7 linked regions of the Macaca mulatta genome follow. The protein of the gene in region 7 interacts with the protein of the main gene of each other region in a pairwise test. Links are inferred from orthologs where the notes say so. Each region holds a gene or a part of one and is shown on either strand. Other genes may lie near its edges.

Region 1 (4,022 bases), on a different chromosome or scaffold from region 7:
TCCTCAGTACAGCAATCTTAATTGGCCACTATGAATGAATAAGAATTTGCATGGGAAATGAAATCTCATTCAGTATGATATTGGCTGTGGGTGTGTCATAAATAGCTCTTACAGTTTTGAGATATGTTCCATCAATACTTAGTTTATTGGGTGTTTTTAGCATGAAGGGGTGTTGAATTTTATTAAAGGCCTTTTCTGCATCTGTTGAGATAATCATGTGGTTTTTGTCATTTGTTCTGTTTATGTGATGGATTACATTTATTGATACGTGTATGTTGAACTAGCCTTGCATCTCAGGGATGAAGCCAACTTAATCGTGATGGATAAGCTTTATGATGTGCTGCTGGATTCAGTTTGCCGGTATTTTATTGAGGATTTTCGCATTGATGTTTATCAGGGATATTGGCCTGAAATTTTCTTTTTTTGTTGTGTCTCTGCCAGGTTTTGGTATCAGGATGACGCTGGCCTCATAAAATGAGTTAGGGAGGAATCCCTCTTTTTCTATTGTTTGGAATAGTTTCAGAAGGAATGGTACCGCTCCTCTTTGTACCTCTGGTAGAATTCGGCTGTGAATCCGTCTGGTCCTGGCTTTTTTTGGTTGGTAGGCTATTAATTACTGCCTCAATTTCAGAACTTGTTATTGGTCTATTCAGAGATTCGACTTCTTCCTGGTTTAGTCTTGGGAGGGTGTATGTGTCTAGGAATTTATCCAATTTTTCTAGATTTTCTAGTTTATTCGTGTAGAGGTGTTCATAGTATTCTCTGATGGTAGTTTATATTTCTGTGGGATCAGTGGTGATATCCCCTTTATCATTTTTTATTGTGTCTATTTGAAATCCGTTTGTCATCGGGTTCTCATGTTTTAGAATAACAGTGATATCTTTGGAAAATACCTATTTTAGGAAGCCTAAAAATAAAGTTGGTATTATTTCATTAATGTTTATATATTTATTGTGAATGCTAAGTGATGAAATATTTTTATGTACACTTTTGGAAAGGTTTCGTAGTTTTTATTATATCTTGGAGCCCTTATCTTCTCTAAATCCTAAATCTTATACAGCTTCATTTTATGTTAAATATCAGGGGAATTACTGTAATTAGTTTACAGTTGGTTACACCATATATATTTAGCCAGCATGTAGATATCTGGGACTTGCAGATGTCTGGGACTTACAGGAAAAATTAAGAACCTCTGCACCTCAGAGTTTGAACATCATTGAAAAGAGCACTGAAGAAATTAACAAGGTAAAGATACAATTTCCCTACCACAATCAGATGTGAGGAGAGAAGAAAGTGGTTCAAAGAAGCAATTTAAATGACAGAAAAGAACTGACAGAGCTACAAAAAGGACAAGAAGAAACACCACCTCAACTTTGAGGCTTCTAAATAGTGATAAATAGTTTTAAGGATGTCATTATGTCATCCTGAGCTACTCTGTGTTCATTTATGCTAAATATTCTGTTTATGAGTGAAATGTATAATACATTTTTTAAATCAAAACTACTTAAAATGAATTTAATTGCATAATTATCTCTCAGTTAACATTTTGAAACCAGTCATCTTTGATTCGTTCTGATCTTTTACTCTTGACAAATTCTATCTGTTCTGCTGTTGAAATCCCCCTTCATTTCATCCTTAATATAGAATATCCTAATTCAGGTTCTTTGTTTTATCCCCTCAGTGACAGCAATAGTTCCTTAACCAGTCTTGTTATCTCTACTGAAATCTCTCTCTGTAGCCCATTTTTCCTGATGTTTCCCCATCTCATATATTTCAGATAATATACCAGTATTTACATATTGTATCAATTTTTCATTTTTTTCAGAAACTAAAATATGAAACAAGTACTTATATATATATTTTTTTTCTTTTAGTCTGAGAATAAAGGATTAGAAACTACTAAGAACAATGTAGTTCAGCCAGTTTCAGAAGAGGGAAGAAAATCTAAATCCAAACCAGGTAGGTATAAATATAGTATTCAGTCTATGTAGGTTTTTTTAATCCTATGTAGAAACAAGTGCAAGCCAAGGGTAGTCTTAACAATTGAATATGCTGGCTTTAGTTCTGTGAATAGTGTGTCAAGGTATAGAGCAAGTTGAATTGGTGAGGTAACAATTATCTTAAAGTTTTTTTTTTTTCTTTCTTTCCTATTTAACTTTAGGAAACTGAAAGACCCCTCATTTCTTAATTGTTGAATGAGAACTACTGACTTGCACATTTTAAAATTTATTGGCATAGTGCATCATGTCATTTCTTGTTTGGCTATCTGAAAGTAGTAATTGCCTATGTGTACATTTGTTTTCATTTTTTCCCCTCAGTTTGAACTCAATATAAGCTGGTGATTAGAGTGTTTTTCTGATCTTTATAGATAAGCAGCTTATCCAGTATACTGCCTTTCCACTTCTTGCATTCCTCGATGGGAACCCTGCTTCTTCTGTTGAACAGGCGAGTACAACAGCATCATCAGAAGTTTTGTCCTCTGTAGATAAACCCATAGAAGTTGATGAGCTTCTGGATAGCAGCCTAGACCCAGAACCAACCCAAAGTAAGCTTGTTCGCCTGGAGCCATTGACTGAAGCTGAAGCTAGTGAAGCTACCCTGTTTTATTTATGTGAACTTGCTCCTGCACCTCTGGATAGTGATATGCCACTTTTAGATAGCTAAATCCCCAAGAAGAGGACTTTACATGTATATATTCATCAAAATGATGAACTATTTATTTTGAAGTATCATTTGGTACTTTTTTTGTAAATTGCTTTGTTTTGTTTAATCAGATACTGTGGAATAAAAGCACCTTTTGCTTTTCTCACTAACCACACACTCTTGCAAAGCTTTCAGATGTTACTCAGCTGCATAGTTACACAGATTTAATGCACATTATTGGCATATCTTTAAGTTGGATTCAAATGGCCATTTTTTTCCAATTTTGGTAAATTGGATTTCTTTTTATTACAATATGACCATTAACCTCAGTTAAATTTTTGTTTGTTTTCCTGTTTGATGCTGTCTATTTGCATTGAGTGTAAGTCATTTGAACTAATGGTATAACTCTTAAAGCTTTCTCTGCTCCAGTTATTTTTATTAAATATTTTTCACTTGGCTTATTTTTAAAACTGGGAACATAAAGTGCCTGTATCTTGTAAAACTTCATTTGTTTCTTTTGGTTCAGAGAAGTTCATTTATGTTCAAAGAAGTTTATTCATGTTCAACAGGAAAGACAAAGTATACATGAATGTTCACGGTCTGATAGGGTTCCAGCTCCATATATATAGAAAGATCGGGGGTGGGATGGGATGGAGTCAGCCCCATCCACTTAGTTGGACTAGTTTTAAATAAAGGTTTTCCGGTTTGTGTTTTTTTGAACCATACTGTTTAGTAAAATAAACACAATGAATGTTGAGTACTAGTGTCTGTTATGTGTCTTCTTTAGAGGTGACACTCACATGAAACAATTTTTTCTTCTCATAGGAAGCAGTGGCTTTAAACTGTCTATGGTTCATTACTCTCAATATGAGTCACACCAAGATCTTTGTACCACATCTCGAAAATATATTGTATATTGCAACGAGGGAGATATATCTCTAAATTTAATGTATTTTGAAGTTCTTTGTTTAAAAATTATACTGGGTTGCTTTCTATGTTTCTAATAAAAAAGTGGGAGAAGTATGCCCCTCATTGTCCCAAATAGGGTAAGAGTATTATCACTGGATGTCTGGAGAGAAGATAAGAGAAATAGTAAAATCAGCTCTTTCTTTGAAACAGTCGCCCAAGAGAATTATAGAGACTTAATGCAAGGCCAGGGCACTTTTATCATGTGAAGAATTTCACCTTTGGGCAAAGGACTGAAAGCAGTACAGTTAATATTGTATAGGGCTATTTAATGAGGAGTTTCAGGGCAGGTTTTCCTATTGGCCATATTCTGTCCATGTCTTAGAATTTCTTTTATTATGATGTAATGATTCAAAGTAAAGGCTAGCACAGAAGAATAGGAAACTTCCCTTAGGGGAATTTTAGTTAGATCC
Region 2 (3,909 bases), on a different chromosome or scaffold from region 7:
TTGCACCACAGAGACTCCCAGAAACCCGTGGCTCTTGGTCCTGCTTCAGCTGCACAAATGAGACCTGGAGAGGGTAGTTTCCAGCTTTCCTGGAAGGCACATCTTAGGAAAAATTTCCTCCCCAGCAAGCAAAGCAGTAGGTCAATAATCTTCCACGCCAAAAATAAAAAATAAAATAAAACGTAAAACTAAAAAATAAAAAAAGACAGCTGGCTTGATTCCAAAGCCCCCAGGAGTTGCCAAAACACACTTTTGCCACACAGCTGCCTGAACCCGGTGGTCAGTAGGAGCACCTCGGTGGTAAGGCTTGGGAAGCCCAGGTGAGGACCCTGCAGAGCAACGAAGCCTTGGAATCAGATGTCCTGTCTTCTTTATCAGGCGTCAGCTGGGTGACTTTGAACAAATTATACTTAACCTCAGTTTCTCTTGTAAAAAGGGTATAACAGCACTCTCCTACACGAGTCATTATGAGAATCAGATTGTGCCACATAAAGTCCTAAGAATACTCAAGAGCTTTGTCACGTAAAGTCATTAAAATCCTCGAAACAGTCGATATCTGATCGCTGCTATCATAATTAACAATCAGAAAGTCATCTTTTTGTTCAGGCATGAATTATACTATTCTGCCTTTCACAAACATTTCAAGTCTTTCTACCTGGGCGGAGAAACGAATGAAGAACAAATAAGAAAAGGTGTTCTAAGGAGGTAGAAGCTTTATTATGACATCTTCAAAAGACAATCAAATCATTAGGCATTTACTGAGCACCTGCTGTGTGCAAACCCGTGCAGACAGTAGGGTCCAGTGTTCCACGCATGGTTCGTGAATCCCTGGGGAGAAAAATCACATCGGAGTCAGGGAGTTTTGCGTGGCTGAGAACAAAGTGGGTTTCTGAACATCAAAGTGCAATTCGCTTTACGGGGCAAACTGCGAGGCCCAGCCCCGCGTGGGAGCCGCAGCGGGGCGGGCTCGCTCTGGGTTGGACGGGTTTCTCTAGCGCAGCGCTGGGGGCTGCGGGTCTCTCAGCAGCCAGAGCAGCAGCCTGAGCTCTGGTTGTTGGAGCGCTGGGACCTCTGGCTGCCGCCCCCGCAGCAGCAGCAGCCACTACTCCGCTGCCGGCGGCGTCTCCTTGGGAAGCAGCAGCAACTGGTGGAGCTGGAGCCGCAGCAGCCCGAGTCGCCGCAGCAGCCGCCGCCGGAGCCGCAGCAGCCGCCGCCGCAGCAAGAGGAGGAGGAGGCGGGCGCCGGGGTGGGCGCAGGGGCGGGACACGGAGCGGGGCCCTGGGATGACCCCTTGGAAAAGCCTTTGGCGGAAGCGGCGCTCTGTTGAGAGGACATCGCGGAGCTCCTCACGACGAACCTGGAAGAAAGGCAGCCTTTTAAAGGCGAGCCGGCTTTTTCTTTCCACCAGTGGAACTCTGTCTGGGCTTTTGAGATTCGGTTTAGTGTACAAGTCAGCCCGGCCTGGGACAAGGGGGGAAAAGTACCCAGAAAGAGCGGGACATAGAAAAGCAAATCCAAGCAGGGGCTTCCAGTGAGTTAAACATGCTCAGAGCAGGACACAATCTATGCAATGAATCAGTGCATTTCCATTTTCTCTGACTAGAAGAAGACTGCTCAAGTTTTCCACAGTGGAAAATAAACAGCACACTGCGGCAGCTTATCTGTATGATCCAGTCCAAAATCTCCACTTGGCTTTTTTCCTCTTCCTCGTTTTACTTTCCTACCGACCTTCGATTTGTATCTTCCTAGTTACTACACCCCATCATTTAGAAAACACCCAAGTCCAACACGCGGTCCCACCTGCTGGATCTAAATAATCCACATACCAGAAGCAGGTCCTGATCATTCTTTCTTGCCTATGCCTCTCACGCCCCACAACCATGTGGGAAAGGAGAGTTGTGCCAATATAAATAACCCCATCCAGGGAGCTGAAAGCCCTGGGTTCTAGTCACAGTTCTTCTGTGGACTTGCTGTGTACCCTTGCAAAAGCCACCTCCTGTGTTGCCTTCATGTCCTCATTAGTACCTTAAGAGGTTGGCTCACTGGAAGCTTAGGTGCCTTGTAGGACACCCCTTCCGCATCTATCTGCTGCCTGTGTTCTGTTTTCTCCTCCGCTGTGCCCTCAACTCATCCCACCCTCTCCCCCAGACCCTGCGAGGAGACTTACCGGACCCTGGCTCCACTGAAAGACTCACTACGTTCTCAGGCTGGAATGGGCCACCTGCTAGGCAGTGGATTGAGCAGTGTCCAGCCAGAGAACCTTTTTATAACAAGTATTCAGGTTCAGGCTCTTGGGAGGGGCCCATTTCCCAACAGACATGCTCAGCTGACACTCACATCCCAGAGACATTCATCACTCAGGTAGCGCTGTAGGTGGTGCACGTGAGCATCTAAGTCACTTCACAGAGGTGCCAGGATTGCTATGGCATGTTTACTTTCCAAGCAGAGCACTGTTGGTACCTGGGAGGCTGTGTGTATGCTAAGAGAAGGCATGGGGCTCAAATGCAGGGAGGTCTGGAACCCCTTGTGCCCTTGTCTTCAGTGTACACAGACACGCACACACACACACACGGCTCAACTTGCCCACACATCAATTCCTGTGTAGTCATCTACTTGGTAGGTGGTAGTTCACCTATTTTTATCTTGATTCTCATCTCTCTGGCTTTTGGTCCTTGGCTCCCCAGGGCAGACCACAAGCTATGCAATAAGCCTGCTGGTTTTCATCCATATGCTTCAAGATGCAGTGAATGAAGATGATGACAGGAATGCACCTGTGGGAATCCCAGGGGCGATTTCTCTCTGTCACTGGAGACAGGAAGAAAAACCAAGCAAAGTTAAGGAACCATAAGACCAGAAAAGTTGTGAATGTAGTCGGGTTACCATATCCCCATAATACAGCGTGGTATGACTAAGAGAAACATGTGTGCAGGACAGTGGCCCAATTGCAAAAAGGCAAGTCAGCCTGTGGGACTCCTGCTTCTTATCCTACCCCCAACCACCAATCTCCCTTTGAAGATAGGTCCTCCCTAGAGCCATTGCCCAATGCAAAAGAAAATGGGAAAGGAAGAAGGGAGGAGGGAAAGATGAAAAAGAGAGAGAGAGAGAGAAAGAAAGAGAGAGAGAGAAAGAGAGAAAGAAAAGAAAGAAAAAGAAGAAGGAAGGAAGGAAGGAAGGAAGGAAGGAAGGAAGGAAGGAAGGAAGGGAAGGAAGAAAGGAAGGGAAGGAAGAAAGGAAGGAAGGAAGGAAGGAAGGAAGGAAGGAAGGAAGGAAGGAAGGAAGGAAGGAAGGAAGGAAGGAAAATACAAGGAAAGGAAAGGAAGGTTCTTTCCAAAGGTCGAAAGTGTGCATGATAAATAGTGTTTTTAGAATAACTAATTTTTAAGAATTGGAGGATACTTTGGCAATCAACTTCGGAACTGCTTCTTAATCAATGCAATTGCCCACAACTATGAAAGTGAACTGTAACAGAAGTCCAAGACTAAGAATTCAAGAATTAAGGATGAGAGACAGGTTTGGGAGTCAGTGAGCTGGGAGTGGCATGAGGGAATACGCACAAAAGATACCAGTTTCATTTAACGTGGATTTAGAGCCTGATTAACAGGTTGCCAGTTCCTAGAGCACCTGTTGGTGAATATAGGTGAGACATTCCAAAAAGTAAAGTCAATATTAGAACAGAGAAGGAAGTAATGAAATAACAAGACAGAGGCAGGATCTCCCCTGGGAAAATGGGCGAAATTCTTTAAAAAAAAAAAAAGTGAAGAAGGCTGTGTTTGGTAGGAATCAGTGTAAGGAGATCATCTGGGCAAGTGCCTACTCATTCTGTGGGCATGTTATGATCTCATAAACCAACTTACTTTATTTATCACTGTTAACTCTTATCAAAGAAAGCATCAATTGTTTATCTTTTAT
Region 3 (4,547 bases), on a different chromosome or scaffold from region 7:
CCTCCCAGTTCAAGCAATTCTCCCACTTCAGCCTTCCCAGTAGCTGGGATTACAGAGGTGTGCCACTACACTTGGCTAATTTTTTTTGCATTTCTATTAGAGATGGGGTTTCACCATGCTGCCCAGGCTGGTCTGGAACTCCTGACCTCAGGTGATCCACCTGCCTTGGCCTCCCAAAGTGCTGTGATTACAAACATGAGCCACCGCGCCCGTCCTCTCTCATAGTTTTATTGTTCTATTTTCCACAGACCCTTCCTTCCTTAATTTTCATGCCTCTTTAATATTCTGTTTCTTTTACCTCACTGACCTTCTTTTTCGTTCTCCTACCTTTTACCGTGGGTGTCTTATTACCCTGCTTAGGGAGTTTAGCATGTCACAGACCACTATCTTCAGGCAGAGGACCCCACATAGTCTCTAGTCCTGATTGTCTACCCTCTCTCAAGTTCTGTAACTTCAGTTGCCTCTAGGACACCTTCACTGGGTTTTACAAAACCCTGTTACCTGGAACTGAATATATTAAAAGCTAAGATTCCTCCCCAAATCTGCATGTTGTGCCAATTTTCCTGGCCAACTATCTTATCTGTCCCCTGGTTTTGGGACCTTATTTAAACCTTTAAATCAATTTTTAAAAAATTGGAATCTTGATGAATGGTGCAAAAATCAATGGATACAAAGGATACGCCGAGATATGTAAGTCTTCCGCCCACTGGTTCCCTAGGCACTCAGTTCCCCTCCCAGGAGGTAACCACTGTTGCCAGCTCTTAAGAGTGATTTTTGATTCCTTCTTCTGCCGGCTCTATCTCAAGTCCTTCCCTGTCTGTGAGATGTGTGCCCTTTCCTTTCCAGGCCCTAGTGAACTGATATCTGGTTGAATTTATATATAAATATTTATATGTGTATATTTTCTATACATATATAACATCTCTCCCTATGGCCTTCCGGCCTGGAGTTTTCATCACGTCGCTTCCTGGATGAAGGAACCTCGAGGGGTGAGGGGCAGGGGTTGGGGGTGATGGAGAAGAGAACCTAAAGGGGACTTAGGTAGGGGGTTCAGAGTGGCCAACTGGCGTGACGCTCTGGCAGGATTCCTATTCCTATTCCTCCCACCTCAGGCCCGCTTCTAGTCCTCTCATCCAAAAGCCTCTCGTTTCCAAGGGCCGAGACAGAGACAGAGACAGCGAGATACACAGAGACAGAGACGCCGAGGCACCAGCATCCCTCTCCCCCTTCGGTCCCGCCCCATCTCTCTGACGGACACTATCGCTCAGCCAATGGCGCTCACGATATGCCCCTGAAGGGCCAATGAACGCCAGAGGAGGGCGGAAGATTCCCCGCCCCCACTTCTAGGCTTGGTTGAACCGTGCAGGTAGGTCCGGGGCTGGGGGAGCTGTCTTTGGCACTGGTGCCCCTGGGGGTGGGGGCACGAGTGGACAGGGGTGATGGTGAGGTAGAGGCGGCGGCCCCGACACGACGAGCTCGAGGGAGCGGCCCGGCTGGGAGGCGGGGGGCGGCGGGGCCCGGGGAGCGGGCGCCGCCGAGGGCCCTGGAAGCGGCGGGGCTCGGGGAGGGACGCGTGTGTGGGGCACGGGGACCCCCGCCCAGCGCCCACTCGTAGGCCTGGGCCGCAGGCTGCCGACCGAGTGGCCGGGGGGCCTGGCTGCCCCGGGGGCGGGCCGGGGCCGCGGCCGGGGGCGCGGAGCGGAGCTCGGGGCGCCAGGCCGAGCCGAGGTGGGACGGACCGACGCGGAGAGGAAGGGAAGCCGCATCCCGCGGGCCGCCCCTCCTGAAGCGAGCCGGGCAACGGCCGCGGGCGCCCCTGCCCTGAGCCCACCCCGCGCTCTCCCCTCCCTAACAATGGGAATGGGGCAGAAGGAGGCGCCCCACTGCGGAGGGGTGAGGGGTAGGTTTGGGACTGGGGTCCGCGGTGGGGGGAGGTGCGATCTCGGGCTCTCGCCTCTCCGCTCCCTCTGGCTCTGGAGTTGGGGGCCCTGGTGGGGCTTTGAAGCCTGCCTGAGACTTGGGTCAGGAGTCAAACTGCCGCCCCCCGCTCCTCCCCCAAAATCCGGTGAGCGGTAAGGAAAGTGATGCCAAGTCTTCGAAGCCTCAGTGACAAACGCATAGCAAGAACACATCCACTCCAGAGGTGTTTATTTTTTATTTTTATTTAAATAAGGGTACTTTTCGACATTTGTTTTTAACGAAGTGGGTGCTGTTATTTTTGTCCCTACGCGGGCAAGCCTCCATTTTAAGCGAAGCAGTAACTGGTTAAGCTGGAATTGTATTCAGGCCCAGGACTTGAACGAGGATCCTACTAGAGGTCATTTAGTCCATCCTCCAGCCTCCAGGCAAATTTACCTTCCTCCTACCCTCAAAATTAAGTTGCTCGGTCTGCTTTTAACGATCTCTGGGGAAGAAGGGTATTTTATTTGTTTCTAGTACTTCAGTCAAGAATAGGTTTTACTTTTCATGTGGAATTGACTCTGAAACTTAAGCATAATCTTGGGACAGTCGGGATGATTAGAGAGGTTTTACTTTACTAAATATAATTAAATGTAGCAAGGGTCTTTTTTTAGATGGTTAGTTAACAAATCACGTTTAGTGTTTATGAGGTACCCTGGAAACTTTATTCTCTCTGGGATTTTGGCTGTTTGATAAGCAATTTTACATTATCTAAAGTAAGTGTTACATATTTATTTCTCTTTTTATATAACGTATGTTTCTACACATATGTACGGAGACACACACACATTTGCCGTTTTCTAAAGGGGACTGTATTTTCTATACTTTTTTAGTGCGATGAGGCAAATAGTACTTCAAAATCCCTGCCCATGTAGCTTAAACTATTTGCATTTTCTTGATTATTTTTTAGTCTAAATGAAAATCCTCTCTTTCAGATACCTTATCGAAACAAAAGATTTTCCTACCTGCTCATACTTGGTAACCGAGGGAATTACTAAGACTTCTTGCTCATTTCTGAGTATTGTCTTTATATCCTGACACTATGAATGCTATTTGGATGCCTCTTAAGGTAAGATGTGTTATTTTTTCATTACCAGCCTCATTTTATTCATTTTTCTTTAGAACTTTGTAATGCTTGTAATTCTTGAATTTGCTATTCTTCAGTTCCTTTACCTGCCATTTCTCTTGCCTCTTGTGTTTGCTTCCTAGGATTGATTGGCTGTACCTTACTTTGCATTGCTACTGTTCTTTGATTATCGGTGTGAACGTTTTAATGAAGTTCTCAAATTAACTTCCATTATAATGAAAGGCAGTGATCTTTTTAACTTTAAATTATGGCAACTTACATAGTTATAAAATTCTGTTCCAATTTTAGGATAGGTTGGCAATTCAGACATCTAGGTCCACTTTTCAAACAGGTACTTTAGAGTCATAGGTACTAGGGTGTGTCCCACTCTTGCAAATCAGTAGCTGATTCATGTGTTACAAAAGATGTGTCATTAACCATTTGTTTACTCTGAAACTGCATATAGTATATTAGAACATTCTAAGACCTGCTGGTTTACACGTATGACTTTTTCAGAGTCCTCCTGCTGCACCCCAGTCCTTTGCGTGACATTTCACACTGTTTTTCTCAACAGGTAGCACTTATGCCAAGTTTATTTCACAGGGTAAACCTCATTTGGACAGTGTGGACAGATGACCTTTAGATGAAAAAGCTCCCATTGATGTGGTGGTTCTCCAGTCTCTTTGGCTTCTCTCATCTTTTATACATAGATGGCCAAAGAACCCTCCATTAGGACTAGGCAAAGGGCAGAGCTTAAGACTGAAATGGGTGGCTTCTTTGATTTTCTTGTGACTAAAAATACATTTAAAAAAATTAAATATTTTTAAATTTTACAAACAAAAACCAAAAAAGACATAAGGAGGGTATGGGAGGAAGGACAGAGAAGGATAAGCAGTCTTGGAAACCCTCCACCAGCTTCGCCTTCCTTCAGAGTTGGATACTAGCTTAGTTAAGATTGTTGTGTGCTAATCTGTTCTGTAGACTTCCAGATTAATGCAGAGGAGAAATCGGACAATAATGCAGTCTGCGTAACCTAAATATCTGGACTTGTGGGAAATCTTAGGTCATGTAGACTGAGTTCTCATCTTCATTTACGTTTCAGCTGCTATTGCTGGATAATGAGTGCTTATATTAATATACAGGAAGCCAAAGTGACACAGTTTTTCCAGCATTCTCCCTGTAGAGTTGGAGGGGTTGCATGGGGAATGCAACCAGAAGTTCTGAACCCGTCAAGAATCGGAGGACCCGTGTAAGAGTGTTTCGACTTAGCAAGTGTTGAGCACCAGGACCTGCTGGCCTCTGTCCTTTTTAGGAAGCAGGCAAGGGGATTGAGATGAATATATTGGATTTCGTTTTATAGTTTCCTAGGTTTTAACGAATGTATTTGGTACAGAAAGCCCTACTTTTAAAGATATTTCCAATGTTTAAGGTTTTACCTCTAAATGTCTCTGAACCTGGGTTACCATACAGTAACCTCAGAAGTTCTACCAGAGGTCTCTGGCATGGCAGGAATAGAGAAAGG
Region 4 (4,531 bases), about 5.4 Mb from region 7:
CCCGGCAGGCCACAGCGGCGTCACGCAGGTCCCAGCCATCATCACACACGGTGCCCCAGCGCCCGCCGTGCCAGACCTCCAGGCGGCCAGCGCACCTGTGGGGACCAGACACCAGGCGCAGCCGCTCTGTGGGGTGAGCAGGGAGGGGAGGGTGTGGCCAGTGAGAAATGATTCAAACACCCCTTCCTCGATTTCCACCCCGGGGAAACAGGCCTCAGGGAGCGGTGGCCTGAGATCTGCCCGCCAGCAGCCCGTTAAGAGGTGAGTCCACAACCTGAGTGGGCCAGGACACCTGGGCCTCCTGACAGGGCAGGAAGAAAAGGGGACACCAGGCCTGACCGTCTAAATCTCCGGGGCAGGGACACGGTGAACACTGGGATCCTTCCAGGGCCCCGGCTAAGGAGAGGGCACCCACGGGTCCTGCTTATCTGGGCCCTGGGCCTCACAGCATCCAGGCTGGGGGTCGGGGGAGCCTGCAGGGAGCTTACCTTGGCGGGGGGCTCCAGTTGTCAGCAGAGGGGCCCGGGTGGACTTGGCCTGCTTGGGCCGGGGGCTCTTCTTTCGGGAGGCATTCTGGGGGTTCCCAGCGAGGCGGGGGCCTGGGAGGGGAGACAGCCAGGGGTCAGGAGCTGAGCCCCTCATCCTTCCTCCCATCTGGGGGCCAGGCCTCTGTCTCTGAGGGTCTGAAGTGATGGAGGATTCCCTGGGCTATGAAGGAGACGGGGTGGGGCGGAGAGGCGGGCAGTGTGTCCCCTGGGGGTTCTTAGTGCAGAGGTCCCTCTCCCCTTGGCGGGAGCAGGAGTGTGCACTGCGTGGGGGTGGGCAGGGCAGTCCCCTGGGCTCACCGTGTGTCACCGGGGGCTCCTCCGTGCTGGGGCTCAGCTCCACCGACAGCCCTGGCCAGGGAGCCCCATCCAGGGGAGACGTTGAATCGTCCCTAGAGTTAGCCACACGCTGACCTGCGGCGGGGGAGGCGGGGACATAAGCTATGAGGAGAGTAGGGGAATCCAGGTCACTTGGGTCCCTGGAAGAGGAAGTGAGACTCCTGGCTTTGGAGGGGATGGGAGGATGAGTGTCTCTGGACTGCTGCACACTCAGACTTTCTGGGGCTAAGGACTTGGGATTCCTGGGACATCTCCAAAGGAAATCCCCGTGAAGGAGCAGCCAGGGTGTCCTCACCTGCACAGACGACGCCCGCGTCCTCCTCGTGGGAGCAGATGTGGGCCTTCCAGCCCCGGTGGTGGCAGAGGCCCAGCTGCCCTTCGTTGCCCCGGCAAGCCAGCTCGCTGAGCCACACGGGCCCTGCCCCCTCCCCGAAGAAGGCGCCTCCGGGGGCGGCCAGCGCCCCTCCGCAGCCCAGCTGCCGGCAGGCCACAGCGGCGTCACGCAGGTCCCAGCCATCATCACACACGGTGCCCCAGCGCCCGCCGTGCCAGACCTCCAGGCGGCCAGCGCACCCATGGGGGCCATCGGCCAGGCGCAGGCGCTCTGAGGGTTGGAGGAATGACTGTGACTGGGGAGGGGCATCCTTGGGGTCCCAGGGCCAGGGTGACTGGGGGCAGGGGGCCATCCTGCGGGTACTGTCGGTAGGCCAGTGGCCCTGCTCACTGGCCCCTGGGTCCAGACTCCTGGGTGCTCAGAGAGATGCGGCCAGACACCTGGGGGATCCCAGCACAGAGCAGGGGCCAAGGTCACAGTGGAATTCGGGTGGGCCAGGGACCCAGTGGGGTTGAGGCCAGGCCTGGACGGGCAGAAGGGGGAGTCCTGGCGCTGGGTGGAGGGGGGGAGATGGGAGGAGTCTGGGCACTTACCAACAGCCTGGATCCCCACCAGTGCCGCTGGAAGGGAGGGCAGAGGGTGGGGCAGAGTGAGGGGCAGGGCGGGAGTGGCCCTTTCTCCAGCGCAGACCCCTCATCTTGAATACCCCAACACACACACACACACACACGTGCACACACACACGCACACACACACGCACACACACACGCACACACAGAGTCCTCACACACGTGCGCACACGCACACATGCACGCACGCGCACACACGCGTGCGCGCACACACACAGTCCTCACATACGCACGTGCACACACACGCGCACGCACACACACGCGCGCGCACACACAGTCCTCACACACGCGCGTGCACACACACGCATACGCACACACACGCATACGCGCACACACACGCACACACGCGTGCACACACGCGCGCATGCACACACACGCACACACGCACACAGAGTCCTCACACACGCGCGTGCGCACACAGGCACACACGCACACACACAGAGTCCTCATACCTCTGAACCAGAAACCCCGCTGCTGGGAGGCAGGACTCTGGACAGAGGGGCGGGCTGAGGCACAGGTCTCTGAGGCGGGTGGGGCTGCCGATGCCGGGTCCCTGAAGTCAGGGCTGGGGACCCCGGCTTTGGTACTCTCACATGGGCTTGGCTAAAGGTCAGGTGTCCGGGACATCCCCTGCAGGGTCAGGGCTGGGGGGCGGGGAGGGGGCAGGTCCCTTGGGCTTCTGGGCTCGCAGAAGGCTGAGCAGATCAGGCGGGGATCCTTAGAAGGGATGTCAGGGTGTGCAGGAGCACCAGGGACCAGTCCCGGAAGTTTGAATCTCTAAACTGGATAAGCTAAGGGGTCAGAGGTGGGGGCCTAGGCCCCCTGAGTCCCCAAGGAGAATGGATCACTCACCAAGGAGGCAGGCCAAGACCCTCATGGTTGCAGCCAGGGCAGGGGATGGGGTGAAAGGGGAAGGAGAGCGGGAGAGAAGAGGAGGAGGCAGCTGGGGAGAGAGGGAGGGAGGGAAGCGCCTGCCGGAGGCGCCCAGGCCCGAGGAGAAGCAGGCAGGGCTGGACACTTTGCCAGGAGAAAGAAAGAGGCTGCAGGGAGGCGGCAGGGGACGGGGGGGCGGGAGGGGGCTGGCCGGCGGCTCAGGCATGGGGGGGAGGGGGGTGGCGGGCGGGAGGGAGGGTGTCCAACTGCAGACACCCACACGGGAGACGGAGACGACGGCCAGGCGTGCTGCAGCCAGCGAAGTGCTGTGCTCAGAGATGCTCAGGGGGTGGCTGGCTGCAGGAAGGCGCAGGACAGGGGTTGGGGGACGTGTGCGTGGGGGTGCAGCACGAGCAGGAGAGGGCGCCCACCTGTCTTCTCTCTTGTCTGGTCAGGGAAATCCACTGAGACTGCTGCTAGGGTTGGGGCTTGGGCAGACCCAGGGGCTCTTGGTGCAGCAGCAAGAAGATTTGCAGCCAGACACCAGGAGGGACTTCCTGGGTTAGGAAAAGAGACTGAAAGACCCGTCCCTCCAGTCCTCCCCGTCACTGGTGGATCTGAGTGTGAAGCCCGCAGTCCCCAGCTGAGAGAGGAGAGTTTGAACTTCACCGTCCCAGAGGGAGCTGGGGTCGGGGGATAAGCAGCACAAGGGTCAAGGCTTGGGAAGGGGAGGGGCTCCACACACTCCTCCACACACTCACACACACCCCACTCCCTGCGCACCAGGCAGCTGTGAGGTGGAAAAAATTCGGTAATAGGGAGCGTGACTCAGAAGGGCTGGCAGGGCCCAGGGCTGCCCCTGAGCTCACAGCCTCCCCTTCTCCCAGTCCAGCACCGCCCCCCAACAATTAACGTTAACTGGGGAAAGGAGGAGCCAGACAGAAATGGGCGGGGGGTGTCCGGAGACAGACTGGGAAAGGCATCAAAGATGAGACAGGCACACAGCGGTTCCAGGCTTTATTAACAAACGGTGGAAAAAACCACATGGGTCTGGGGGAAGGGACAGGGCTGCCCATCTCAGCTCTCGACCGACCTTCCCGGAGAGGGGCCAGGCCTGGCAGCCCTGTGCGCCGCGCCCGCTAAGCAGTCAACCTTGTCCCCTCCAAGCACAGGCATCTGACCCAATCTGGGTCCCAGGGAGGCGGAGTCGCAAACCCTAACTCGAGGGCATATTGTGCTGGGCCTCCTCTCCCCCTCCCCAGATAGCTCTCCCAGGCTTGGGGCACAGACTTTGCAGACATCCACCGGGGAGATTTCTCAGTGCAGACAGAGCTGAGGTAGGGGTTTTGGAGAGGCTGACCTCGAGAGGCCCCTGAGGGCCAGGAAGGAAAAGGAGTCATTTCACTCTTAGAAGCTCAAACACTCCAGACCTCACACTGCCGACTGCCGGGCACAGGCCAGGCTCCTCCCTCGGCAGGCCTCTGTTTCTGGGCCCTGGGTGGCTGAGGACTCACCGAGGGAGAGCACGTAAAAGCACCTGCACACAGTAGGCGCTCTGCAGGTGCTGGCGCCCCTCCCTCCTTCCCTGCCCTGGCTGTCAGCCTGTAGCCTCACAGGTCTTTGCTGAATTCCCTCACCAGCGTGTAGCCCAGGCAGCCCCAGCCCCCCTCGGCCTGGTAGCCGCAGCCCTCCAGCATCCCCGCCACTCCCCAGGCAGCCACAGCCACGGGGACCACGAGCCGGGCCCGGGGCTCCCCCATGCCCCCAGCCCAGGCCCGAGCCCGGGCCTCCGCGAAGGCCAGCAGCCTCCT
Region 5 (2,910 bases), on a different chromosome or scaffold from region 7:
AGTCAGGATTGATTGGCAGGGTGGGGTCTGGACACTGGGGCCCCAGAGGACACAGCTTTTGACCCAAACTAGTGATGGTGTGAGGATGAGAGCTCAGGCAATCCACCTCCCAGCTAACCCCGCAGGACATCTAGTTCACCTCCAGCCTCTGCTCCACTACTGCCTTGCTAGGGAAGAGGCCTTCAGATACTAGGCAAGGAGGGAGAGGCAGGCAGTATGGTGGAGCCAGAGAGCCTGGCTCTGAGAGGCACCACAAGCCTTCAAGATAGACAGTTATCTGTACTCTAGGTGACGCCCGCAGCCTAGTCCCCTCAGATACAGGTGGGATTTACTAGTCTACCCCTGGGAAAGACTGACTGAGGAGGAGGAATAGTCCTGAGAATCTTTTTCCAGCCTTGTGGTTAGTCTACATAATGTCTAAAAGACCCTTAGCAATAGGAAGTATTGGATAATTAGACTTCCTGGCCTGTATTCCTACACCTTTTCTTGGTCCATATCATGTAATCTCTTTAGCTGACAAGAGGGCAGCAACCACAGAGTCCTGTGACTGGATGCCCTTGAAGTGTTCCTTAGCTCTGGGTGCTGCCATACATACATCAGCTGGTTCTCATTTGGCAGCTCTTCCAGGTCTCTCTTTCCTAGGAGTTTGGGGGCCACAAGGCCAGGCTAAGGGATCCTGATGAGCAAGGTGGTTCAGTAGGAGAATCTGAGAAGGTTCTGTGTATTGTTTGGGTGATAAGGAGTATGGGGCCTGTCTCTTAGTGTGCTCTTTTTTATCCTTACCTTACTCCTTGTTCTCATTCCCCTAGGTTTTTTTTTTTTTTTTTTTTTTTTTTTTTGCCTACTCAGAGTAGATATTTTTGCCCTAGGCATTCCAGAGGGCTATTGTGTTTAATTGGGGTTCTTGCCCCTTGAGAAAGTAGGCAAGTCCAAGGAGGCAGGGGCATGTGGTGGGGCAGCCACCTTTATCCCAAGTAGACTGCCATCTTTGGGCACCATCCCCAGCTGTGCTTTCTGGGGACAGCTATGAGGAAGAGGAAATAGCTGACGGGGCTGAATGATAGTGTCATGATAGAACACTGCTATAGGGACACCCTATAGAGATCAAAGCCCCTAAGTTCTCTCACTCCCGTGCCTGGCCTGGAAGGCTGAGGCAAGCTGCCAAGACAGTCACTGCAGGGTGACAGAACCCTGGGAGAGGGGGCTAAGGTTTGGTGGAAAGACACTGCAAACACATTCATGACAAGGTGAATGCCCTATCATGGAACATAGCTCTTCCTGCCTGTCCGCTGGCAACATCGGAAATAGTTTGTCAGGGTCATTGGCCATGTCTGAGAATTAGAAGTTGAAGCGGCATCTGAGTAGGTGGCTTCTTGTTCCTGGCTGCCTTTTTTGCTGCTGGAGGCTACAATGACCTCACTCAGTGGAGGGCCCTGACTTCTGGGCATCATTCCTAAAGCACTTCAGGTCACAGCCATGGCCACATAACTCCGCCATCTATGGAAGGGGAAAGAAACCTAGAGCTACTGCATACCTTGCACAGGGTCACCCAGCTGGAGCTGGAGTAGATACTGAGGTCAGAAGAACATCCTGGCTCTGTGCTGCCCATTCTGAGGCAGACAATAGATGAATCCCAAGAAGGGAGGGAAGAAAACAAGAGGACAGAACTGACATGTATTTAGCAGCAGTGGCATTCTAGCACTACACAGGCTTTATGAACCTTGTTTCATTTAAATTCCCCATGATAGTCTGCCCCTCAGGGTGCAATACCAGGGAGCCAAGACTACCAGCCTATTCTCTTTTAGAGTCTCAGCACTCTTCATTCCCAACCCCTGTTTCCCTGACTTACCTTGACCTTCCTGTCATCTGCTGTTGTCTCATCAAACTCCACCCCCAGCTTGAAGTTGATCTCTGTGTTCTTGAAGGTGCTGTGTGTTTTTAGGGTGAGAATGTCCCCATTCTTTTCGATGATCGTGGTAGGCTTGGTCATGTTGGCCACCTGCCTGGTAGCAAAACCCACTCCTGAGGGTAGGGGGAAGATTGGGAGTATATGAGCTCGGGTAGAGAAGCAGTGTACAAGAAACTCAATGCATAACTCTCAGGCCTGGGTATGGGGAAGTGGAGGACTGTATCTTTCAAAGCCTTTGCATGGGAATTTTAAAATTCAGTCTTGCCCTTTGTTCTGTTTGGTGAACACAGATTACTGATCCCATTAGACAGATGAGATACTTAAGGAACAGCGGTGCCATAGCAAGTCAGTGGGAGAGCTGGGATTAGAATAAGTTACTATTGGGCTGAGCGTGGTGGCTCACGCCTGTAATCACAACACTTTGGGAAGCCAAGGCAGGTGAATCACATGAGGCCAGGAGTTCAAGACCAGTCTGGCCAATATGGTGAAACCCTGTCTCCACTGAAAATGCAAAAAATTAGCCAGATGTGGTGGTATGTGCCTGTAATTCCAGCTACTCAGGAGGTTGAGGCTGAGAACTGCGTGAACCTAGGAGGTGGAGGTTGCAGTGAGTCGAGATTGTGCCACTGCACTCCAGCCTGGCCGACAGAGTGAGACTCCATCTCAAAAAAAAAAAAAAAGTACTATGAACTTTTTGTGTAGTAAGAACTGTACATGTTATCTCATTTAGTTCTTCCTGTTCCTCTGAAGACTATTTCCACGTTACAGATGCAAAAAGAGAGGTAAAGCCCAGGGTCACAAATCTGATATTGAAGCCCAGAATTGTCTGACTCCAGAGCTTGCTTAAGTGCTCAGCTATACTACCTCCCAAGGCTAGAGCATAAGGCTGAGGAAAGAAGAGAAACGTAGACTTTCCCTTCCAAAGCCTTAGGCATAAGAGTTTTCCAACTTTGGAAGTTTTTATCCTGAAACTAAGAAGTGTTAGTGCTCTTGTCCCTTAT
Region 6 (4,760 bases), on a different chromosome or scaffold from region 7:
CCAGGCTAGCAGAATTCTATTAACAAAATACAACATAAAAATCACATAGCTAGCCCGGGCATGATGGCTTATGCCTGTAATCCCAGCACTTTGGGAGGCCAAGGCAGGTGGATCACCAGAGGTCAGGAGTTCAAGACCAGCCTGGCCAACATGGTGAAACCCTGTCTCTACTAAAAATACAAAAATTAGCCAGGCATGGTGGTGGGTGCCTGTAATCCCAGCTACTCAGGAGGGTGAGGCAGGAGAATCGCTTGAACCGGGGAGGCGGAGGTTGCAGTGAGCGGAGATTGTGCCATTGCACTCCAGCCTGGGCGACAAGAGCAAAACTCCGTCTTAAAAAAGAAAAAAAAAAAACAAAAAACACATAGCTAAAAAGAAATATTCATGTCAATGGATACTAAAAAAGAACAAATAACAAAATATATTAGGTTTATTGGTAAATGAAGTCCCACACCACACATATAGTAATCTTGTGAATATAGGTAACCAAAAAGCAAACTGTGAAATAAAGTGTCATTAATTTGAAATTCCACGTAGGAATTAATTAGTTCAGACAAAGCACAGTACTTATAAACAAATGTGTCAGTGGAAATTAATTTACTGGGCCGGGCGCAATGGCTCACGCTTATAATCTGAGCATTTTGGGAGGCGAGCAGATCACCTGAGACCAGGAGTTTGAGAACAGCCTGGTCAACATGGTGAAACTCCGTCTCTACTAAAAATACAAAATTTAGCTGGGTTTCCAGAAGGTTTTCAATTTACTTTGCCCATATCCATCAGAGGAATAACTATCTATAGTAGCTATAGATAGTAACAGTAAATGAGCATTGACTTCAACTTAAAGTCATCAGCTGCATTGGCCCCTAACAAGAGAGAAAGCCTGTCCTTTGAAGCTTTTTTTTTTCTTTTTTTTGGATGGAGTACAGTGGTACCATCACAGCTCACTACAGCCTTGACATCCCAGACTCAAGTGATCCTCCCACCTCAGCCTTCCAATTAGCTGGACCACAGGTGCACACTATAATGCCCATCTAATTTTTAAATGTTTTGTAGAGATCGGTTCTTGCTATGTTGCCCAGGCTGGTCTTGAACTCCTATGCTCAAGCAATCCTCCCACCTTGGTCTCCCAAAGTGCTGGGATTACACGTGTGAGTCACTGTGACCAGCTCCTTTCAAGCCAGGTAATACTTGTCCTTTCTACCTATGAAAGTCTGAGATGGCATCTTCTTCCAATAGAAGGCTGTTTCATCTGCACTGAAAATCTGTTGTTTAGTGTACCCACTTTCATTTTCTGCAGCTTCTGCATCAGTACTTGCTGTTTCACTTTGGACTTTTGTTATAGAGAAGGTTTCTTTCCTTAAATCTCAAGAACCAACCTCTGTTTTTTTTTTTAGATAGTCTTGCTCTGTCACCCCGGCTGGAGTGTGGTGGCACAATCACAGCTCCACTGTAGCCTCGACCTCTATGGCTCAAGCCAGCCTTCCTTCTCAGCCTCCCAAGCAGCTGGGACTATAGGTGTGCACCACCACATCCGGCTAAATTGTTTTGTATTTTGTAGAGACAGCATTTCACCATGTTGCCCAGGCTGGTCTCAAACTCCTGGGTTCAAGCAATCCACCCACCTCGGCCTCCCAAAGTGCTGGGGCTACAGGCATGAGCCATTGCACCTAGCCAACATTTGCTACTTTCAAACTTCTGCAGCTTCCTCACCTCTCAGCCTTCACAGAATTGAAGAGAGTTAGGGCCTTGTTCTGGATTAGGCTTTGGTTTAAAGGAATGCTGTGGCTGGTTTGATCTTCTACTCATACCACTCAAACTTCCTCCATATCAGCTTATAACTGGAGTAGCACTTTTAATTTCCATGTATTTGTTTGTTTGATGGAGTTTTGCTCTTGCTGCCCAAGCTGGAGTGCAATGGTGTGTTCTCAGTGCACTGCAACCTCTGCCTCCCGGGTTCAAGTGATTCTCCTGCCTCAGCCTCCCAAAGAGCTGGAATTACAGGTGTGTGCCACCATGCCCGGCTAATTTTGTATTTTTAGTAGAGACGGGGGTTCACCATGTTGGTCAGGTTGGTCTTGAACTCCTGACCTCATGTGATCCACCCACCTCAGCCTCCCAAAGTGCTGGGATTACAAGCGTGAGCCACCGCGCCCGGCCCCATTTTTTTCTTCATATTCACAATTTGGCATGACTTCACATGCCTTCCCAGCTACTCGGGAGGCTGAGGCAGAATGGTGTGAACCTGGGAGGCAGAGCTTGCAGTGAGCCGAGATCGCGCCACCGCACTCCAGCCTGGGCAACAGAGTGAGGCTCCATCTCAAAAAGAAAAAAATCAAACCAACAAAAAAAAAGGAAATGCTGTCAACAGACTTGCTCAACAAGTACATGTCAGTTCCACGCTCCTCAGTCTCATAAAGTCAGGGACTAGAGACCAATCTGTAATTATCAATACGTACCTGCCTTTGAGTGAACCTTCAATGCCAACTAGGAAGGGCGCTTCCAAAACGACGTTATTTGTAACTCCTAGGAACACAAACACGGGTCAGAACTCATACTCTGCGGGCCTTGAAATGGAAAATCTCTCCTCTAGACAGACTCATCCCCGCCATAAATGTCAGGAGACTCCCCAGTTCCCTGCCCCATCCCCAGGCCAAGGAGTTATGTGCTTCCAAATTTTCATTCCGTTTTCTTCCCCAGGTGGTTCTCTGCCACCCGGTGGAGAAGGCGGGAACAACCTCTCGGGCTAGCCTCTGCCTTTCCCGAACGCCTCACTGCACTCACTGGAGAAGACCACGGCCCCAAGGGACCGCGACAGGTCCCAGGCGAGGTGCACCGAGTCGGCGAGCACGGCGTGGCATTGTGCGCACTGGAAAACAGCGCACCTCTCAGGCTGCAGCCAAGACGGCAGCTGCGAGACGGCGGCCGGCTCCTCAGCCCCCAGCCCTGCGGGGCCGAGCGGCGAGGACCCCTTCACCACCTGTGTATCCCACTCCATGGAGGTCGTAAAAGATGCTTCGTCAATCGCCCTCTCAGTGCCATCACAAAAGTCACCCTGGGGCGGCGTTGCACAAGGGGAGCGATGCCGCCGCGGCTGAAACGCCATCTTCTCTCAGCCGGCGCCGTCGTTTCGAATACACGCCAGGCCCCGCCCCAAGCACAGCTCCTGCGTCCTCATTGGACATCGTGGGCAATCCAAGCACTGGAGTCCCAGTCCGCGCACTCGTTACCTGAACCGGCCTTACAGGCCCTTCGGCGCCTGCGTATTCGTGAAGTGTGAGAAAAGCGCGCGACTGTTGGGACGGGAAATCAGCCTTTCTATTGGTCAGGGTTAGAAACCCCGCCTTTGAGGCATTTTCAACCAATGGAAGCGCGGCATTCTTCATTTAAACTGTCTATAAATTTCAGCTTAGTCAAAGTTAAGAGTGGCGCCAGGGATTTGAACCTCGCTTACGAGACTTGGTGATCCATCTTCTGAGTATCACCGGGATTTTGAATCGCGATGATCATCCCCTCCCTAGAGGAGCTGGACTCCCTCAAGTACAGTGACCTGCAGAACTTAGCCAAGAGTCTGGGTCTCCGAGCCAACCTGCGGGTACGACGCTGGCGGGGCAGTTCCCTGGGCGGGCGCGGCGGGAGTAGCGGCCTCAGGGAGATGCGGTGCGAAGGGACCGAGCGGGAAGCCCGGGGACTGAAGCAGCCGTCCCTGCCCCTCGGGCAGTAGATGTGGTTCACGGTGGTCCCAGTTAGAACTCTGATAAACGGAAGAGGAACTGTAGTTTTCACCTCATTTTGAAGCTGGCTTGTCTGGGTGCTCACATGATAAGCCTCTGTTCCGAGGGGTGGTTTGTTGTTTTTCGTTTTTTGTGGTTTTTTTTTTTTTTTTGAAATTACTTTATACCTCTCAGGTCATCGATTACGAAACGCAGGCCCAGAAAGCAGAAGGGGTGTCGTTAATCGTTAGACAATTAAGTAAATAATTGGCTCAGCTTCTAGAAAACCCCACACAGACTTCAGTGATTTGTAATATTGCCGATAATCTCTTGATACTTTATTGATGGACCTGTCAGGGGGAAAGAAAAAATCTACTTTTAGGGGACCACCTCCTTGGGTAAATTTTTATAACTCAGCCCTGATCTAGTATACTCATGTGCTTATTGATGACTGTTGTGGTGATGGTATCTATCAAAACCAGTAAGGTCTTTGACTCCGAGGCTACAAGATGTTAGGGGAATTGGCCGGGCGCGGTGACTCATGCCTGTAATCCCAACACTTTGGGAGGCCAAGGTAGTTGGATCACCTGAGGTCAGGATTTCGAGACCAGCCTGGCCATTAAAAAATTAGCCGGGCGTGGTGGCACACGCCTGTGATCCCAGCTACTCGCCTGTGATCCCAGCTACTCGGGAGGCTGAGGCAGGAGAATCGCCTGAACCTGGGAAGCCAAGGTGGCAGTGAGCCAAGATCGCACCCACTGCACTCCAACCTCGGTGACAGAGCGAGACTCAGTCTCAAACAAAACAAAAACAAACAAACAAAAAACAAGATGTTAGAAGATTTGGGGATTCAATGTAGGATAGCGGTTTTATATATTTTGTTAATAGTTGAGACTTCCCACATAATACTGCTGTATGCTCTCTAGGTTTGTCCTGCAGGCTATGATACTGACACTGAATAAATGCCTAAATCAGTCGTCACAAATGTTTTTCTTTTCTTTTTTTTTTTTTCTTTGAGACAGACTCTTACTCTGTCTCCCGGTCTGGAGT
Region 7 (4,735 bases):
CTCTGTCTCAAAACAAACAAACAAACAAAACAAACAAACAAAAAAAACTCAAAAAAACCAGGTAGGTCTTGCTTAAGGCCGGGCGTGGTGGCTCACGCCTGTAAATCCCAGCACTTTGGGAGGCCGAGGAAGGGGAGGGGGACACCTGAAGTCAGGAGTTCAAGACCAGCTTGGCCAAACTGGCAAAACCCCGTCTCTACTAAAAATACAAAAATTAGCCGGGCGGGGTGACGGGTGCCTGTAATCCCAGCTACTCGGGAGGCTAAAGCAGGAGAATTGCTTGAATCCAGAAAGCGGAGGTTGTAATGAGCCGAGATCATACTGTACTCCAGCCTGAGCGACAGAGCAGGACTCTGTCTCAAAACCAAACCAAACCAAACCCAGTTCCCAAGTACAAGCTAGAAGGTCTTCTTAGGAGAAGATTCTGCCGGTGGGGGGCTGGGGTAGGGCACGTCTCTGCGTCCTTACCACTGGCAGTCTGTCCAACAGTCTACCCTTAATTCCATCTGCTTTTGCTCAAAAACCTATACTGAGAAGTGGAAGGAAGTTGGACTTACTGCACAGCAATGGAATGAGAACACATCCACCTTAATTATAGCAGTAACAGTAACCACTTTTATGCAGCACCTACTGTGTCCCAGGCACTAGTCTAACTGCTCGACGCGGATTAACTCATTTAATCAGCCCTATGAGGCAGGCAGTTTTGTTTTTTTTGTTTTTTTTTTTTTTTTGAGACAGGGTCTCACTCTGTCACCCAGGCTGGAGTGTGGTGGCACAATCTCCGCTTACTGCAACCTCTGCCCCACCCCAGGGTTCAAGTGATCCTCCTGCCTTAGCCTCACAAGTAGCTGGGACCACAGGCACAAACCACCACACCCAGCTATTTTTTTGTATTTTCTGTAGAGACGGGGTTTCACCATGTTGCCCAGGCTGGTCTCGAATTCCTGAGCTCAAGCAATCTGCCCACTTCAGCCTCCCAGGGTGGTGGGATTACAGGCGTAAGCCACCGTGCCTGGCCCAGAGGCAGGTACTCTTAACACCACCTTGTACCACAGGGGAAACCGAGGCACCGGGAAGGGAAATGGCTACGGTCACACAGCTAATAAGAGGGGTGCAGTCAGGTTTTGAACTCATAAATCTGGCTCCAGAGTCTATGCCAAGGATGTATAAAATTTGGCTTCCTGGGGCTACATCGCAAGAATTGTCTTAGGCCACACATAAAATAACACTAATGATAGTTGATGAGCTCAAAAGGAAAAAAAAAAAACACTCGCAAAAAATTCGTATGGTTTAGGAAAGTTTACGAATTTGTATTAGGCTGCATTCAAAGCTATTCTGGGCCACATGCAGGCCCACGGATGGGACAAGCTCAGTTTATGCTCTTAGCTGCTACTCTGTATACTGTCTCAGTGATAACACAACCCCTACAAGCTCAAGGAAATATAGGGCAGGTGCTCAAAAGCTGGCAAAGTGGACAATAAGTGCTCTAAGGGAAGGTGGTCAGATCCCAAGAAGGGCTTCCTGCCCGCGACAAGTAAGGGAGGAGAAAGAAGCTTGTGTAAAACGCTCAATACCAGGATTCCTCCACCTTCTCTGGACCTTGATTCAGTCTCCTAACTGCCACAGAAGGGATGAAGGCTGAACTCCAGCTGGGATGTCCTGACGTGGATGGGACAAAGTGGGTTTCTGCAAGAGAGAAAAGACTGACATCCACCTCGGCTGGTGGAGGGCCCTGTGCATGAGAAGGGGCAAGATGGCTACCCTCTGACTAAAGGGAAACGGAGATCTTCCATTTTTGGCAGGGTTGGGAGATAGTTCCTATCCCGTGGAAGCTAAGGACTGTTTGAAAGGAAGCCAAGGGCAAGGGATGGAGAAAAGGACGCAGCTGGGGCCTCGATGTCTGAATCCCTGCCAGGGGATGGGGCCTGGGCACCCATCATTTGGAACGGAAGATGAGGATGGCCGGAAACAGACACTTCAGAGGAATGAGGGAGACAGAAGAACGACAGCAAGAGTTAGACAGTCCAACGTCTGCGGCTCTTGTAAGGGGGAAAGAAGAAGTGAGGCTGGGCCCCAATAAAATATGTTGAGGCCGGGCGCGGTGGCTCACGCCTGTAAGCCCAGCACTTTGGGAGGCCGAGGCGGGCCGATCATGAAGTCAGGAGATCGAGACCATCCTGGCTAACAAGGTGAAACCTCGTCTCTACTAAAAATACAAAAAATTAGCCGGGCGTGGTGGCGGGCGCCTGTAATCCTAGCTACTCTGGAGGCTGAGGCAGGAGAATGGCGTGAACTCGGCGGAGTTTGCAGTGAGCCGAGATCGCGCCACTGCACTCCAGCCTGGGCGACAGAGACCGAGAGACGTCATCTCACCAAAAAAAAAAAAAAAAAAAAAATTGAACAGGAACGTATGAGTTGAACTCTGTGCATAAGGCTTGCCAGACACCGTCTTGAGTTTCATAAACCCACCAGGAGAGCTGATTTTTCTTATTTTACGGATAGGGAAATGAAGCAAGAGAACTTAAGCTATTTGCCCGAGGCCATCCTGGTAGGTCTGTGTTTGGGAGAGTGCTGTGACTCACGCTGGACTCTAACCCACGAGGGTTTCTCGGGGTCAGCAGTTGGGGGATGAAAACATGAAAAGTGTGGCTGGCAGGAAATTCTGCAAGCAGGGAAAGGGAAACAGAAATTAAATGGTGCAGGTCTCCGGGAAGAGAATGAGACTGGATCCACAAAATCACAGGAGGAAGCAGGCCCAGACCTCACAGGCAGAAAAAGAAAGAAACCAGAGTTTAGGAGGAAACCAGACCCCGGAGCTACGAGAGGGCCGGATCCCTGGCTCAAAAGGGAGGAGGGGCCTGGACCCTAGGAGTGGGAAGGAAGAGGTCGGATCCCCTGATCCCCAGGAGGAGGGGACCGGGCTGCCACCCAGTTGGGGCCCCGCGAGGGCGGGGCGCGGAAGGATCCGGGCGGGCCATGCTGCGCCACCCGAAGTATTTCTGTCCCCAGTCCCCGGGGCCGCCTCATTCCCCGTCCTCAGATCACGGTCTCTTCTAACTACAGCGTTCTCCGCCTCCGCCTGCGTAGCCCCAGCCATGGCTCTGTAGCCTCGACCCCTTTGTGCCCCCAGCCCGACTCCGCGCTTACCACGCCTGCGCTCTCCGCTCCCACCTTCTTTCTTCAGCCGAGGCCGCCGCCGCCTCTCCTTTCTGCAGCCATGGAGTGAGTAACCGCTTACTTGTCCCTCTCCAACCGCCTTTCCCGCCCTTTCGCAGCTCGTGGCCCTCTTTAGGGAGCCCTGGGGGGAGGGGAGCTGCGAGCGGGGAATCACGGTCGCGCAGGCGCAGAAGAGGTACGGTGGGCCGAAGGCGCGCGGCTGCGCATGCGCACTGGGCCCGGAGCCGGGTGGGAGAGTTCTAGAGACTCGATGTTTGTCAGCCGGCGTGTGGCTGCGCCTGCGCACTCCAAGGGAGGGTGTGGTCTTTTTCTAAACGATTCTGTGCGTGCTTGGTTGTTCCTGCGCAGTAGCCTACCAGTGCCCCGTAATGAATGAGCGCGGGCCCTGAGTGTCCGCGCATGCGCACTGATCCCCAAGAAGGCGGAGGTGTAAAGCAATTGGACAGCTCGGAAGACGTAGCATGCGCTTTGGCCCTTGGCGCATAGCCGCGTGTGGACGGCTGGCGTTCGGGTAGCAGTTCTCTGCCTGCCCCCTCTACCCTCCTCCACCCTCCCTGCTCCACGTTGCTCTGGCTCACAGCCCAACTTCCTTCCTTTTAAACCAGGCACCTGCTGAGGCGGGGACTGGCTTAGATTGACAGGGGAGAAGGCGGGGCTTAGAGGCAGCCCTCTAAGTGGGTGGGGCTAGAACCACTGTCGTCACGATGGGTGGGATTTCGTGAGCCCATTGTGAGAAGGGGCGGGGCTAAGCCAACCTTTAGCTGAGGGGTGGGGCTTCGATGGGACAAAGAGGCGGGGCCTCTGGGGAATCGGAGAGGGGCGGAGCTAAATAAACAATGAGGGGCGGGGCTTGGAGGGACAGTGGCAAAGCGAGGAGTGGGATTTGAGTGGATAACATTGCTGAAGGGCTGGGGCCTGGGGCAGTTCCCCTGGGCACTGGTTTGGGATGGAAGCTAGGAAGGCAGTGGGGCCAAAAGGAAATATTTTAGGGCAAGGGGCGTGGCTGGAAGAAAATGTCCCTGGAATTGAGTTTTTCCATGAAGCGGAATATTCTGAGGTGGATGGGAGGGGCCTAAGGTAATTCCCCTGGGAGACCCTTAGGTTTCTGTATTGGGGGAAAGGGTGGGGCATCGGTCCTACCTTAGGACCTAAAGAAATTCCCTTGGGAGTGGGTGGGGCTCAGATTTGGGTAAAGAAAGGGCAAATTTAGAATTCGGAGAGGCTGAGGCTTAGTTATAAACTGTGGTTGGAAGGGGGAGGGAGGAGCCCCGTGGACGTGCCTGGGGGTGTGGCTTGGCTTCCCCATGATTTTGGCCGGTGGATGAGGCTTTCCTGACCCCACGACCCCACCCACTCTTGTCTCACACGTGTAGGTCTTCCACTTTCGCCTTGGTGCCTGTCTTCATCCAGCTGAGCATCCTCCAGAGCCTCGTCCCAGCTGCTGGTGCAGCCGCTCCTGTTGCCATCAGTGCCCTGCACCTGTGCTACAGCGCCCTGCACCTGTGCTACAGCCATGTCACTCCTGGCCACCCTGGGGCTGGAGCTGGACAGGACCCTG

The links.
Region 1: the proteins of NUP62 (region 7) and HSF2 interact in binary tests that used the Homo sapiens proteins (3 or more experiments, as listed by UniProt). The link is inferred for Macaca mulatta from reciprocal best matches to the Homo sapiens genes NUP62 and HSF2.
Region 2: the proteins of NUP62 (region 7) and CRCT1 interact in binary tests that used the Homo sapiens proteins (3 or more experiments, as listed by UniProt). The two-hybrid records come from large-scale screens. The link is inferred for Macaca mulatta from reciprocal best matches to the Homo sapiens genes NUP62 and CRCT1.
Region 3: the proteins of NUP62 (region 7) and KANSL1 interact in binary tests that used the Homo sapiens proteins (3 or more experiments, as listed by UniProt). The two-hybrid records come from large-scale screens. The link is inferred for Macaca mulatta from reciprocal best matches to the Homo sapiens genes NUP62 and KANSL1.
Region 4: the proteins of NUP62 (region 7) and SSC5D interact in binary tests that used the Homo sapiens proteins (3 or more experiments, as listed by UniProt). The two-hybrid records come from large-scale screens. The link is inferred for Macaca mulatta from reciprocal best matches to the Homo sapiens genes NUP62 and SSC5D.
Region 5: the proteins of NUP62 (region 7) and FABP3 interact in binary tests that used the Homo sapiens proteins (3 or more experiments, as listed by UniProt). The two-hybrid records come from large-scale screens. The link is inferred for Macaca mulatta from reciprocal best matches to the Homo sapiens genes NUP62 and FABP3.
Region 6: the proteins of NUP62 (region 7) and OIP5 interact in binary tests that used the Homo sapiens proteins (3 or more experiments, as listed by UniProt). The two-hybrid records come from large-scale screens. The link is inferred for Macaca mulatta from reciprocal best matches to the Homo sapiens genes NUP62 and OIP5.

The regions. Positions count from the first base shown.
Region 1 is NC_133409.1:27,446,835-27,450,856, forward strand, and holds the end of HSF2 (heat shock factor protein 2), read left to right. Parts: intron 1-1,874; coding exon 1,875-1,959; intron 1,960-2,368; coding exon 2,369-2,664; 3' UTR 2,665-3,403; downstream 3,404-4,022. UniProt on the Homo sapiens protein: DNA-binding protein that specifically binds heat shock promoter elements (HSE) and activates transcription. In higher eukaryotes, HSF is unable to bind to the HSE unless the cells are heat shocked.
Region 2 is NC_133406.1:114,516,029-114,519,937, forward strand, and holds CRCT1 (cysteine-rich C-terminal protein 1), read right to left. Parts: upstream 2,329-3,909; 5' UTR 2,168-2,328; intron 1,358-2,167; 5' UTR 1,336-1,357; coding exon 1,021-1,335; 3' UTR 696-1,020; downstream 1-695.
Region 3 is NC_133421.1:71,124,428-71,128,974, reverse strand, and holds the start of KANSL1 (KAT8 regulatory NSL complex subunit 1), read left to right. Parts: upstream 1-1,333; 5' UTR 1,334-1,366; intron 1,367-1,717; exon of another isoform or gene 1,718-2,143; intron 2,144-2,894; 5' UTR 2,895-3,005; coding exon of another isoform or gene 3,006-3,028; intron 3,029-4,547. UniProt on the Homo sapiens protein: Non-catalytic component of the NSL histone acetyltransferase complex, a multiprotein complex that mediates histone H4 acetylation at 'Lys-5'- and 'Lys-8' (H4K5ac and H4K8ac) at transcription start sites and promotes transcription initiation.
Region 4 is NC_133424.1:67,831,904-67,836,434, reverse strand, and holds the start of SSC5D (soluble scavenger receptor cysteine-rich domain-containing protein SSC5D), read right to left. Parts: upstream 2,881-4,531; 5' UTR 2,725-2,880; coding exon 2,700-2,724; intron 2,492-2,699; exon of another isoform or gene 2,300-2,491; intron 1,839-2,299; coding exon 1,812-1,838; intron 1,489-1,811; coding exon 1,180-1,488; intron 960-1,179; coding exon 846-959; intron 600-845; coding exon 489-599; intron 127-488; coding exon 1-126. Other genes in the region: NAT14 (putative N-acetyltransferase 14), read right to left, coding at 4,331-4,531.
Region 5 is NC_133406.1:209,492,985-209,495,894, reverse strand, and holds part of FABP3 (fatty acid-binding protein, heart), read right to left. Parts: intron 2,023-2,910; coding exon 1,850-2,022; intron 1-1,849. UniProt on the Homo sapiens protein: FABPs are thought to play a role in the intracellular transport of long-chain fatty acids and their acyl-CoA esters.
Region 6 is NC_133412.1:18,677,051-18,681,810, forward strand, and holds the start of OIP5 (protein Mis18-beta), read right to left. Parts: upstream 3,151-4,760; 5' UTR 3,104-3,150; coding exon 2,782-3,103; exon of another isoform or gene 2,698-2,781; intron 2,524-2,697; coding exon 2,457-2,523; intron 1-2,456. Other genes in the region: NUSAP1 (nucleolar and spindle-associated protein 1), read left to right, coding at 3,500-3,592. UniProt on the Homo sapiens protein: Required for recruitment of CENPA to centromeres and normal chromosome segregation during mitosis.
Region 7 is NC_133424.1:62,390,062-62,394,796, forward strand, and holds the start of NUP62 (nuclear pore glycoprotein p62), read right to left. Parts: upstream 3,225-4,735; 5' UTR 3,148-3,224; exon of another isoform or gene 3,026-3,147; intron 1,687-3,025; exon of another isoform or gene 1,575-1,686; intron 830-1,574; exon of another isoform or gene 685-829; intron 1-684. Other genes in the region: ATF5 (cyclic AMP-dependent transcription factor ATF-5), read left to right, coding at 4,691-4,735. UniProt on the Homo sapiens protein: Essential component of the nuclear pore complex. The N-terminal is probably involved in nucleocytoplasmic transport.